Ovis aries: one gene and its partners. The protein of the gene in region 1 interacts with the protein of each later gene in a pairwise test. Links are inferred from orthologs where the notes say so. Each region holds a gene or a part of one and is shown on either strand. Other genes may lie near its edges. The genes, in order: EDC3, DCP1A and ANXA10.

The links.
Region 2: the proteins of EDC3 (region 1) and DCP1A interact in binary tests that used the Homo sapiens proteins (3 or more experiments, as listed by UniProt). The two-hybrid records come from large-scale screens. The link is inferred for Ovis aries from reciprocal best matches to the Homo sapiens genes EDC3 and DCP1A.
Region 3: the proteins of EDC3 (region 1) and ANXA10 interact in binary tests that used the Homo sapiens proteins (3 or more experiments, as listed by UniProt). The link is inferred for Ovis aries from reciprocal best matches to the Homo sapiens genes EDC3 and ANXA10.

Annotation. Positions count from the first base shown.
Region 1 is NC_056071.1:31,677,736-31,681,387, reverse strand, and holds part of EDC3 (enhancer of mRNA-decapping protein 3), read right to left. Parts: intron 650-3,652; coding exon 330-649; intron 1-329. UniProt on the Homo sapiens protein: Binds single-stranded RNA. Involved in the process of mRNA degradation and in the positive regulation of mRNA decapping. May play a role in spermiogenesis and oogenesis.
Region 2 is NC_056072.1:47,774,430-47,778,081, reverse strand, and holds part of DCP1A (mRNA-decapping enzyme 1A), read right to left. Parts: intron 1,895-3,652; coding exon 1,756-1,894; intron 1-1,755. UniProt on the Homo sapiens protein: Necessary for the degradation of mRNAs, both in normal mRNA turnover and in nonsense-mediated mRNA decay. Removes the 7-methyl guanine cap structure from mRNA molecules, yielding a 5'-phosphorylated mRNA fragment and 7m-GDP.
Region 3 is NC_056055.1:112,563,009-112,567,206, forward strand, and holds the start of ANXA10 (annexin A10), read right to left. Parts: upstream 2,831-4,198; 5' UTR 2,671-2,830; coding exon 2,653-2,670; intron 1-2,652.

The DNA of each region.
Region 1 (3,652 bases):
TTCAACTCAGACATCACTACTACCACCATTTACCAGATCAAAAACATCACTTCTGTCTATGTGAACTCGAGCCAGATCACTGACATTTTTTGAAGGAAAGGAAATGTTGGGAGAGGGCAAGGAGCAGGTGTGAACCTCAACAGCTTATTTCCTTTCCCTTTAACATCTTGAGGAAATACCACTGGAATAAAAGAACCATGCTATATTTTTGCGAAACCCTGCCAGGATCTTTTTTATTAGAGTAATAAAGGACTTATTTAAAGAACAGCAGTGGATAAGTGGACATGAAACATCAAGCTAAGAAAACACATTAACTTAATCCAACTTACAAGAGTTGTGCCGACGACGGAAGCTCTTGGACTGACTCAAGGATTCCGTGTGCCTGTCCACGTAGCTCTTTGAGCACTGTTGCTGCTGGGGAGAGATGGCAACATCTTGGCTCTTCACATCTGTCCTCTTGGGGATGTTCTGAGGGACACTGCTCGAAGAGGCTGGCTTCTTGACCAACTTGCCTGTGCCATTTTGATTGATACCAACTTGGCAACCAACACCAGAGGAGCCTAATTCTGTCTGATGAAGATCTCCAAAATGCTGGGTTTCTCCAGGGCCTGGTATCTCCAGAATTTTTAATTCTGTAATGTCACCTGCCCTGAAATACATAAAAGAGTCCAAGTCTCAAAACTAAAATAGTGATAACGGTGATGAAACTGAGATTATCAGCAACAAGCCACACCTTTGGAGGGCTTCATTTCAATGAGTCATCAAAGGCAAAACCTAAAAAAGATGGTGGCGTACTTAAAGACAAGACTTAGCCACCAACATTCAATGGACACAGCACTGACCTTTAAAAGAGACCTATTGTTATAACATATACTAATGCATGTATATGGAATCTAGAAAGATGGAACTGATGAACCTATCTGCAGAGCAGCAACGGAGACACAGACATTGAGAACAGGCAATATGGATACGGCTGAGGCGGGGAGGGAGGAGGGTGTGATGTATGGAGAGAGTAACATGGAAACATACATTACCATATGTAAAACAGAGAGCCAATGGGATTGTGCTGAATGACTCAGGGAACTCAAACCGGGCTCCGTAACAACGAGAGGGGTGGGATGGGGAGGGAAGTCGGTGGGAGGTGCAAGTGGGAGGGGACATAGGTAAACCTACGGCTGATTTATGTTGACATTTGGTAAAAACCAACACAATACTGTAAAGCAATTATCCTTCAATTAAAAATAAATAAATTTTTTAGAAAAGAAACAAAAAATAAATTAAAAGCTTAGAAAAGGAAAACAAAAAAGAGACCTATTGTTAAGGGAGTCGGAGACGGATGGACTGGGCATTTCAGGTTAGTAGATACGAACTGTTAAATATGGATGGACGGACAACAAGGTCCTACTGTATAGCACAGGGAACTATAGTCAACATCCTGGGATAAACCATAATAGAAAAGAACATAGAAAAGAATGTGTGTGTGTTACTGAGTCACTTCGCTGTACAGCAGAAATTAACACAACACTGCAAATCAACTATACTTCAATAAAGAGACCTATTGTTCATCATAAAACCATCATTAATATCTTAGATTTCTAGAATGCTTAATGGCTTTTTTCATTCATTTACCTACCTGCTCACTCAAAAGGTATACACAGGGTACTTACTATGTGGTAACCCCCGTAGTAGAAGTGGGGTATATAAAGACGAAAAGTAATATATGCTCACACAGAACTCGAAGTCTGTTCAGCAGAAAATTCAAGTAGGTAATCAAAAGTGTTGAATACTATGACAGAGGTGTGTACTGGGGACTAGAGCCTCCCAGAGCAAAATACATGTTAGTCTGGTAGAGATGGATGAAGCACTTAAGCCAAGTCTGGTTGGGGAGGGAAAATAAGAGTTGGCCAAGCAGAGTATGGGAGGGAAAGGGGCACCTTAAGCCAAGGCTCAGAGACTGAGGCCATGTGAGGAACTGCAAAAGTTACTGTTGTTAGCGTAAATGTTATAGTGTTACTAAAGAGACAAATGCTTATAGAGGGCCATCAGGAGGTAAGGCTGAAGAGAAGATTAGGGATCAGATCATAATCACACTGGGTTTTTCTGGTGTCTATAAGAACAGTGAAGAAACTAGAGGCAGGGGCACCAGTTAGGAGATGAGGCAGAAATAAGAGGGGATGTATAAGACCATGGCATCTGGTCCCATCACTTCATGGGAAATAGATGGGGAAACAGTGGAAACAGTGTTAGACTTAATTTTGGGGGGCTCCAAAATCACTGCAGATGGTGACTGCAGCCATGAAATTAAAAGACGATTACTCCTTGGAAGAACAGTTATGACCAACCTAGATAGCATATTGAAAAGCAGAGACATTACTTTGCCAACAAAGGTCTGTCTAGTCAAGGCTATGGTTTTTCCAGTGGTCATGTATGGATGTGAGAGTTGGACTGTGAAGAAAGCTGAGCGCTGAAGAATTGATGCTTTTGAACTGTGGTGTTGGAGAAGACTCTTGAGAGTCCCTTGGACTGCAAGAAGATCCAACCAGTACATTCTAAAGGAGATCAGTCCTGGGATTTCTTTGGAGGGAATGATGCTGAAGCTGAAACTCCAGTACTCTGGCCACCTGATGCGAAGAGTTGACTCATTGGAAAAGACCCTGATGCTGGGAGGGATTGGGGGCAGGAGGAGAAGGGGACTGAAAGGTCGGGCAAGGTCGGGCATGTTGAGGCATGCCTGGACATGTTGAGGCATGCCCAGGCGTGCTGAGGCATGCCCCGGAAAAGTGCCACAGACAAGTCCCGGAGGTGGGCCAACAACCAAGCCGTCCAATCAGGTGCCGACACGGAGCCTTTGGACACCAACCACCGCTGAGCCCACGCTTTCTTCCTTATATGGGAGCCCGGCCCTGGCTATAAAACCCTTCTCCACCCCTCATACCTCGCAGACTCCCTTTGCTTCCTTGCTCACCCGCCCCCTGGAGTTCTGCCCGAGAGCGACCGCCCAATAAAGGCCCTGATCAACGGTCCATAGGGGTGGCTCTTTCTTCCTGCTGCGTTTCTTACAGGGACGACTGAGGATGAGATGGCTGGATGGCATCACTGACTCAACGGACATGAATCTGAGTGGACATTGGGAGTTGGTGATGGACAGGGAGGCCTGGCGTGCTGCGATTCATGGGGTCGCAGAGTCGGACACGACTGAGCGACTGAACTGAACTGATACAGCAAGTGACAATGCAAAGAGAGAAAGGAGGATGGAACCAAAAAAACATTTGGAATCCAAAGAATTTGGTGACTAACTGAACATGAAGATCAAGAGAACAAAGAATTCATTATGATTCCTAAGTTTCTAACCTGGGTGAAAGGTGTCCTTAGTCAGGGAAATACAGTGGACTAGTGGCAAATGCAAGGTGTGTGCGCTAAGGGGAGGAGTGTTTTTACTATGGGAGAGGCCTGGGAAAGTTAGAAAGTGATGAGAAGAGAGACAGTATAAAGGTTCAAAGTGAAGACACAAAAGAAAAGGGGTAGGGTCTCAAAGGATACAGAAAACGCTAACACAAAGCATATGTGATAAGGTTAGCCTTGAACACAAAGGGTATACCTTCTGTGAAGACTTCAGAGGAGGTAAGCAATAAGGAGGGATACACACCTACAG
Region 2 (3,652 bases), on another chromosome or scaffold:
ATATGGAAATTAATTGGACAATAAAATTTCTAGAAAGTTGAGCACATGATTTTAGACAATAGTGTTCATAACAACTGTTATTTTTATAACCCCTTTAAGGACAAGCAAACAGCATTACTTTATTATATATTCTTTTCCACTTTTTTTTAAGTTAATATATGGTAAAATTAACTTTTGAAATGTATCACCAGGCTTCCCTGGTGGCTCATACTGTAAAGAATCTGCTTGTAATGCAGGAGACCCTGGTTCGATCCCTGGATTGGGAATATCCCCTGGAGAAGGAAATGGCAATCCACTCCAGTAATTCTTGCCTGGAGAATTCCATGGACAGGGGAGCCTGGAGGGCTACCATTTCTTTCACTTTCAAAATTAACTTTTGAAATGTATAGTTTTGTGTACCCACAAATCAGGATATCCGACCTCCCCAAACTCCCTTGTGCTATCCCAATGCAGTCGTGCCCTCCTTCCACTCCTGGCAACCAGTGACTCTTCTCTGGCACTAGTTCCGTCTTTTCGAGATTGTCATCTAAATGGAATGGTGGCTTCCTTAACTTAGCAAATGCCTTTGAGATTCATCCAAGCTGTTGCATAGATGAATCTGGCAATCTCCCAAGTCTCTACCTAGAGATAAAGGGTCTATTTGGAACCATCTGAGGCAGAGAAGAAATCATCCAAACACTAAGACGTGAACTCATGGGCCGCTGCTAAGACTAACACCATATGATTAGATGACAGGCGAGTGTAGACAAGCAACAATACTCCTGTTTAAGGAAGTGCCACCTATTTATGGATGGCTTCAAAAATAGAAAGAACACATTATGAAGGAAATATCAAAGATTTAACTAACTCCCCAAAGGTTTAGTCTTAATCCAACCACAGAAATTTTATTCACTCCATACCATATCAGAATTCCCTTACAACAGTAGTTACTGCGCTGTCCATACTGTCTACCTTTGCAACGTGCATTGACCAGAATTCATGTCAGATTTTTACACTGCTCATGTGACCTAGAGCTCCTCTGCAGCTCTGCACACAGAAACAAGGCTTCAGCTCTTTCTTCCCCCTGGAGAGGACTTGCTCCCCAGCCTGAGGAGGAAGGCGGGCCCCTCCTGGAGCCTCTGCTCTAGTGCGCAGCTCCCGCACTTTTTGTCCTGTGTGGCACCTTGACCTCGTCCTCACTGGGAATGGGTGACAGAGCTCTCAACTTACTAGCTGTTACCACAACACCGAAAGGGCTCTATAAAAACAGAAGGAATCTATGTAGATAACCCGTATCTCATTAAGGGTATGGGAGGGAATTTATGGTAATACATGGTAACTTAAAAGCTCAGAAATGGTTCTTGAAATTTATTTACTTCATCCAGTTTCCTAAGAATCAATGAATTCATTATAGAAATGACTGCCTTTTATGTATTAACTTTCACAGATCCATAAATTCTTTGTAATTCTCTAAGACAGACATTGAGGAATCTGTTAGAACTTTAAACATCTCATGGGTTCTAATGTACATTTCTTTACCCAGGAAGTGGGACCTTTTATTTTCCAAAATCCTTTTCTCCCACAGTAATTTTTAAGGAACAGAAAAAGAACACTTTGAATTTTCAGAGGTAAGAACATCCCCTTCCTTATCTATAAGACAGGTCTTCTTTCTGAACTACTTATTCCCACTGGCCCTGGAGGTGACCTCCCCAGTCCACCAGACCCGCCACCGGTCTCCTCCCTGCTCTGGTTCTCCTGCTCAGCGCACAGCCTCACCCTCTCGTACTCATCCTTGGCTCTGCTTAGCATCTCCAGGATGTCGATGGGCCTGTGGTCACTGCAGCCGTTGGCCTGGTTGGGACTCTGCTTATCCCGAGCTGCTTGCTGGGACCGCCGTGTCTCCTCTTCTACCACGCTGGAGGAAGAGAACCAAGTTTTAGAAAGACCTTTTTTGACACAATATGACCCAAGATTTTGGCGTCCATCTTCCAAGGATACTGGAAGACTGCCTCATGGTAACAATGCCTTCCTCACAATACAGAATAGAGCCTCGCTACCTCATCCCAGTAAGACATGACTGACTACTTTCACCATCTCACTCACAACAGTACCAACCAATATAGTTCACTGTTAGAAGGCCAAAAATACAGAATTCCTTTCCAGATTTGGTAGAAGTAGATACTTTTAAAATCTACTAAATTACACATTATTTCTCTCTCTTTCCTACATTATCTCAGGATCAGTCAAACTACCTGGTAATAAAGTAAATCTGAAAATGGACAATGCCACCAAGACAAAGGAAAGCTGTTCAGGTGAACCACTCCTATGGAGAGGGTATATTAATAATGGGGAGCAAGGAAAAAGCTTAGCATCTTGAAAATGAAGATCTTGGTGAATTTTCAAAAATCAGCAATAACTCTACAAGCAAACAAAAGATTTTCCTTGTTGTCTCCTTAAAAAAATCACTAAGTGGGTAACTAAGGTCAGGGTGATTGTGGCAACGTTCTTTATTTTGACTAGTGTTACTTAAGCTAATTTTGCACTTGAAAATATATATTAAAAAAAGCATGAAAGTCAAGGTCTAAGTCAAGGGCTGCGGTCTGCAAATGTATCTGAGAGGTTTAATTTCTTAGGAACATGCTCTCTCCCTGCCACATCTTAAAGTCTGAAGCAAAATGTGAAAAACTAAAAGTTGCCTGGGGAGCACATGAATGTTTTACTGCTTCTTATATTTTTCTTAAAGCTTGAAATTAATGTAACAAAATAAGATAATGAATCTTTTTTCTTTTAAACATCCATTCAGGTTTCAAGTCCAACTGTAATGAACAGGCCTACTTGCCATGGGATAGTATAGGCACAGTCACAACTTGATAATTGAATTAATTTGAAAACTTTCAGACAGTGATGATGACAGGTAATAAAACAATTCAATAGTAAAAGGCTTTTTTTTTTTTATGGACTAAGAGGCATAGAACAGGGTACCCAATGTCAGTTTACTGCTTTAAAACAGCCTGCCTAGGAACTCCTATTAGTGTGTGTGTGATGGTTCTTTTATTTGAAAACATCGGATTAAACAATATTAAACACAGATTAAAAAAAAAAAAAAACAACAGCAACATTATTCTGAGTTTTTAACAAGCTACAATGTATTATGCTTCTCCAAGGATGGGTTTAAAGCTTTCTCCAAACTGGGAAGTCCCTGGTGGTCCAGTAGTTAGAACCCCACGCTTTCACTGGCAAGGGCCTGGGGTTCAATCACTGGTGGGGGAACTAAGATCCTACAAACTTAGTGATGCAGCCAAAAACCAAAAAATGCTTATTATTTAATACTCAGTTGTAGGCCACACCAACCATCAAGGACCGGTCAAACAGCCCGTGTCTACCCATCACCTGCTACACTGTCTGGCTTACCCATGCTAGTATTCACCTCTCTCTGACCTGGACTGGATTTGTGATCTTCATTCAAAAGAAAAACATTTCTAATAATCACCACTGTTCATCCACCCAAAGGACTACCTTATAAAACTGCTGAGAGCAGAAACTGGCTGGCGGCATGGAAGGCACACCCAGCTCTGGACTCTAAGGCCTCTTCCAATCACACTCTGGGAAGAACAGCCCCGCCCCTCTCCCTTCCTCTCAAACCCCCAAGTATGCCCCAAGACTATTTGTAAGA
Region 3 (4,198 bases), on another chromosome or scaffold:
TGCTACTGTACAAAATGATGGAGGAGGAAGTGATAACCCAGTCCACTGTTCTTGCCTTGGAAAGCTCGTGGACAGAGGAGCCTGGTGGGCTACCGTCCATGGAGTCAGAGAAGAGTCAGGTATGGCTAACTGACTGAGCACACATACAAAAAGGGGAAATCAGTCGATGACAAAACCGGACAAAAACAGCCAACAGTTTTGGTAGAAGAATCAGGGCGATGTATGTGGAAGAGACAGTGTTTTTCTGTGGATAAGAGCTTGAGTTACAGCGACAGAGAGACCTGGTTTAGATACTGATTTGGGCATGTTTTTGGTAACGCTCTGCAGTGAAATTTCTTCCACTCCAAGACATACCACCTTCCTGACGGGTGATTTATATCTGGCTAAGTAGTGAATCAAAACAATTCCAGGCTTGCCAACATCATTTCATTAAATCTTGCTTTTAACAGTTTTATAGTCAAGCACACCTGTAAAATACTCACAGGAAGGTGAATTTACCTTCTTGATGTAACTAACCCACTTGAATTACTTTAATCCCTGAGGGTCATCTAACTCCAAAATTCTGGAAAGTAATTTTCAAGGAGTGAATATGCTTCTTTCCTATAGAAATATAACTGCTTTTCTCTAATTCTTGCCTCTTGCTTGATTTCTGTTTAAATTTTCTATGTTTTGTAACTGGCATAATGCATTATTTTGGTGTTTATACCAAGGGGGTGAATTCAGGTGTCATTCAATCAGAGCTGCTGAGAAGAAGGCTCAGTCGATAATTTAACTTTAGTTAAAACTTAATAGTTTAATAAGCAACCCAGTCAGTAACTATCTCCCCTATGACTTGAGGACTTTTACTTATTGTGCAAAAGCCTGCCTTTTGCTGAAGGACACACACCCAGAATGGAGACTAAACAGGTGAACTTGACCTCATATATTGGCCTCTTTAATATCCAATTCTTCCCAGTTAGTCCATAAATCTTAAGGATATATATATAACTGGATTTATAAATGTATATCCTAAAGAATATAAATATGAAAATATAACATGATTATGTAAAACCCTTTATCATCAAAATTTTCTGAGATAACTCATAAAACCTAATATTTATCTCTGAAATAGATGATCAGAACACTTAAAATGAAAGTTTAGGTCTGCTGAAATCCAACTCTTTAATCTCTGATTATCTACAGAAGCATGGCAAACCACTGCATTTCTTTAAAAGCTTGTTATCATTGGTAACTTTTAGTAGTCTCTGAAATGTAATTTAAATATTTTATGAATATATCTTTTGATAGATTGGCATAAAATATTAATATAAAACCATATGTACCACACAGAATATAGTTTTAATTACTCCCGAATAATTGTACTTGAATGAAAAAAAGGGAGAAAATTTCTAGTCATCCACATACAATTATTTGAAAGTAATAATTGGGAGAAAATAACTTCTTTTACAAATTAAATCATTTACTGTGCTGGCCTAAATTATGTAACAACTTCTGTTTCTATAGTAGAATGTAACTGCCTTACAATTAATAAGATGATAAAGGAAGTTTCACCTGCAAATAAGATCCTGAAATCTCAAGATAAAATTAAGATTCATGAACCAACAGTGATGGAAAGTAGCTACTTTTTCGGTTCCATTCAATACTTAATTTGAAAAGCAATATAAGTAAATAAAAATTTCTAGGGATTAATATTTTGTAAATAGGTAAATAACATCATATTTGTGCCAAAGTTTAACCAAATAATTGTTTTCTTTTCCTGCATAAAATTTTTGCACTAAAATAAAAGGCTTCTGGAAAGAATTTTTAATGATACACATTTTTAGAAAATCCTCAACAAAAGTATATATAATTTCCAAGGCTGTGTGAAGTGGATATCTTTTCAAATGATGTATATTTAAATAACTCAGTGTCTCTATAGGCTCTTCCAAAGTTCATGGACTGTTAGAGTAATTGGATCAAAGTGACCCAGACAAGGAAAAAAATAAAATGACTAAACTAAGTCTTACATTTGTTTAAATTATGTATACTATCATGTAAGAAACGAATCGCCAGTCTATGTTCGATGCAGGATACAGGATGCTTGGGGCTGGTGCATGGGGATGATCCAGAGAGATGATATGGGGTGGGAGGTGGGAGGGGAGTTCATGTCTGGGGACTCATGTACACTCGTGGTGGATTCATGTCAATGTATGGCAAAACCAATACAGTATTGTAAAGTAAAATAAAGTAAAAATAAAAATTAAAAAAAACAACAACAACTATATTTTCTGAACATACCATAGATTTTAAATAAAAATTAGCAATCAGGCTTACTTTTAGTTTCTTATAGAGAGAAATAAGTATGGAGACAAAAATAGCTTATTACTACTTCAGTTAGAATTCTGAGTCAGGTAACTTTAGAAAGTAGGGATCACTGAATTGCCTCTAGAGAACAATACATTATTTCAAAACTAGCACGAATTTGATATTTAATAACACAGACTTTGTTTAATAGTTACATTGGACACCTACTCATTAACACTTTAATGAAGATAAATCAAAACACCAATATTTCTTGTTGAAAATGTCAAGAACCACAAATGAAATTTTGTAAACAAGGTTTACACATCTCAAAAAACTATAAAGTTTTATGGAAATCGCCATTATACTCACATAGTCTCCGCAAAACATTTTGATGATAATGTTTAACTTCAGGGCAGATCAAAAGGTGTTTAGTGTGTGGTCAGTTGAATAGACTTGTTTCACCGTGTCCCTAGAAAGAACTCAAGTTCACCGTTCAATCCAACTTAAGTGTGTCCACTGTCCACTTTGGTTTCTCAAGCAAGAAAACAGAGGGTCAGTTATGGACAAGCGTTTATTAATATACTGAGCCACCAGTCACAGGCAGAATTAATGCACAAAACAAACAGAATCGGTAGCTTAGCCCCTGGCTCTGTGTTGATTTAAGAAACATTAATTATCAAACCAATCAAAGCAGTGTAATCTTTTGAGAAAGCTGGTGACTTATGGAAAGTGGGTTGATTAACCACGTAGTTAATGATTTATTTTCTGCTCTGTTGTTTTTAACACTCAGACTTTTTCAGTTCCTCCAGCCTCTAGCTTCATGCTTCACATGGCTAGGTTTTATATGCATCTATACCATTCACTTGGAGAAGGAAATGGCAACCCGCTCCAGCATTCTTCCCTGGAAAATCCCGTGGATGGAGGAGCCTGGCAGGGCTACGGTCAATGGGGTCGCGAAGAGTTCCACACGACTGAGTGACTAACACACATACCATTCACTAAATATGTTAAACTGTTATGTGTCTTATGTTAAAAAATAGTTTATTTAGGAAAGAAATGATTACCCATCAGGAGAAGTTTTGGATAAGTCATATACGTGCACCATCATTTGTACACTTGTGCTTCCCTCAGAGCTCAGTTTGTAAAGAATCTACCTGCAATGCAGGAGTCCCCGGTTTGATTCCTGGGTCAGGAAGATCTGATGGAGAAGGGATAGGCTACCCAATCTGGTATTCTTGGGCTTCCTTTGTGGCTCAGCTGGTAAAGAATCTGCCTGCAGTTTGGGAGAACTGGGCTTAATCCCTGGAGAAGAGAAAGGCTACCCACTACAGTATTCTGGCCTGGAAAATTCCATGTATAATCCATGGGGTCACAAAGAGTCACACGTGACTGAGTGACTTTCACTTTCACTTATACACTTTCATATGTATATACATTATTTTAGGATTTAGCCTTATTACATTTTGAGGAAACATTTTAAAATCAGCTTCAAAGTCCAACATATTGCTAGGAAATACCTGTAAGCATATGTTTCATACATGATTTCCCCCAAATCACAAAATAAATGTGTATTACAGCATTTTACTGCTACTTGCCACTTAGTGAACAACCCAGTGTTCATTTGTTGTTGTTGTGAGTCAGTCACCAAGTCCTGTCTGGCTCTTCGAGACCCCATGGACTGCAGCATGCCAGGCTTCCCTGTCCCCTGCCATCTCCTGGAGTTTACCCAAGTTCATGTATATTGCATCAGAGATGCCAGCCAACCATCTCATTCTCTGTCACCCCCTTCTCCTTCTGCCTTCAACCTTTCCTAGCATCAGGATCTTTTCCAACGAGTCGGCTCTTCCCATCAGGTGGCACAGGTGTTGGAGCTTCAGTATCAGTCCTTCCAATGAATATTCAGGGTTGATTTCCT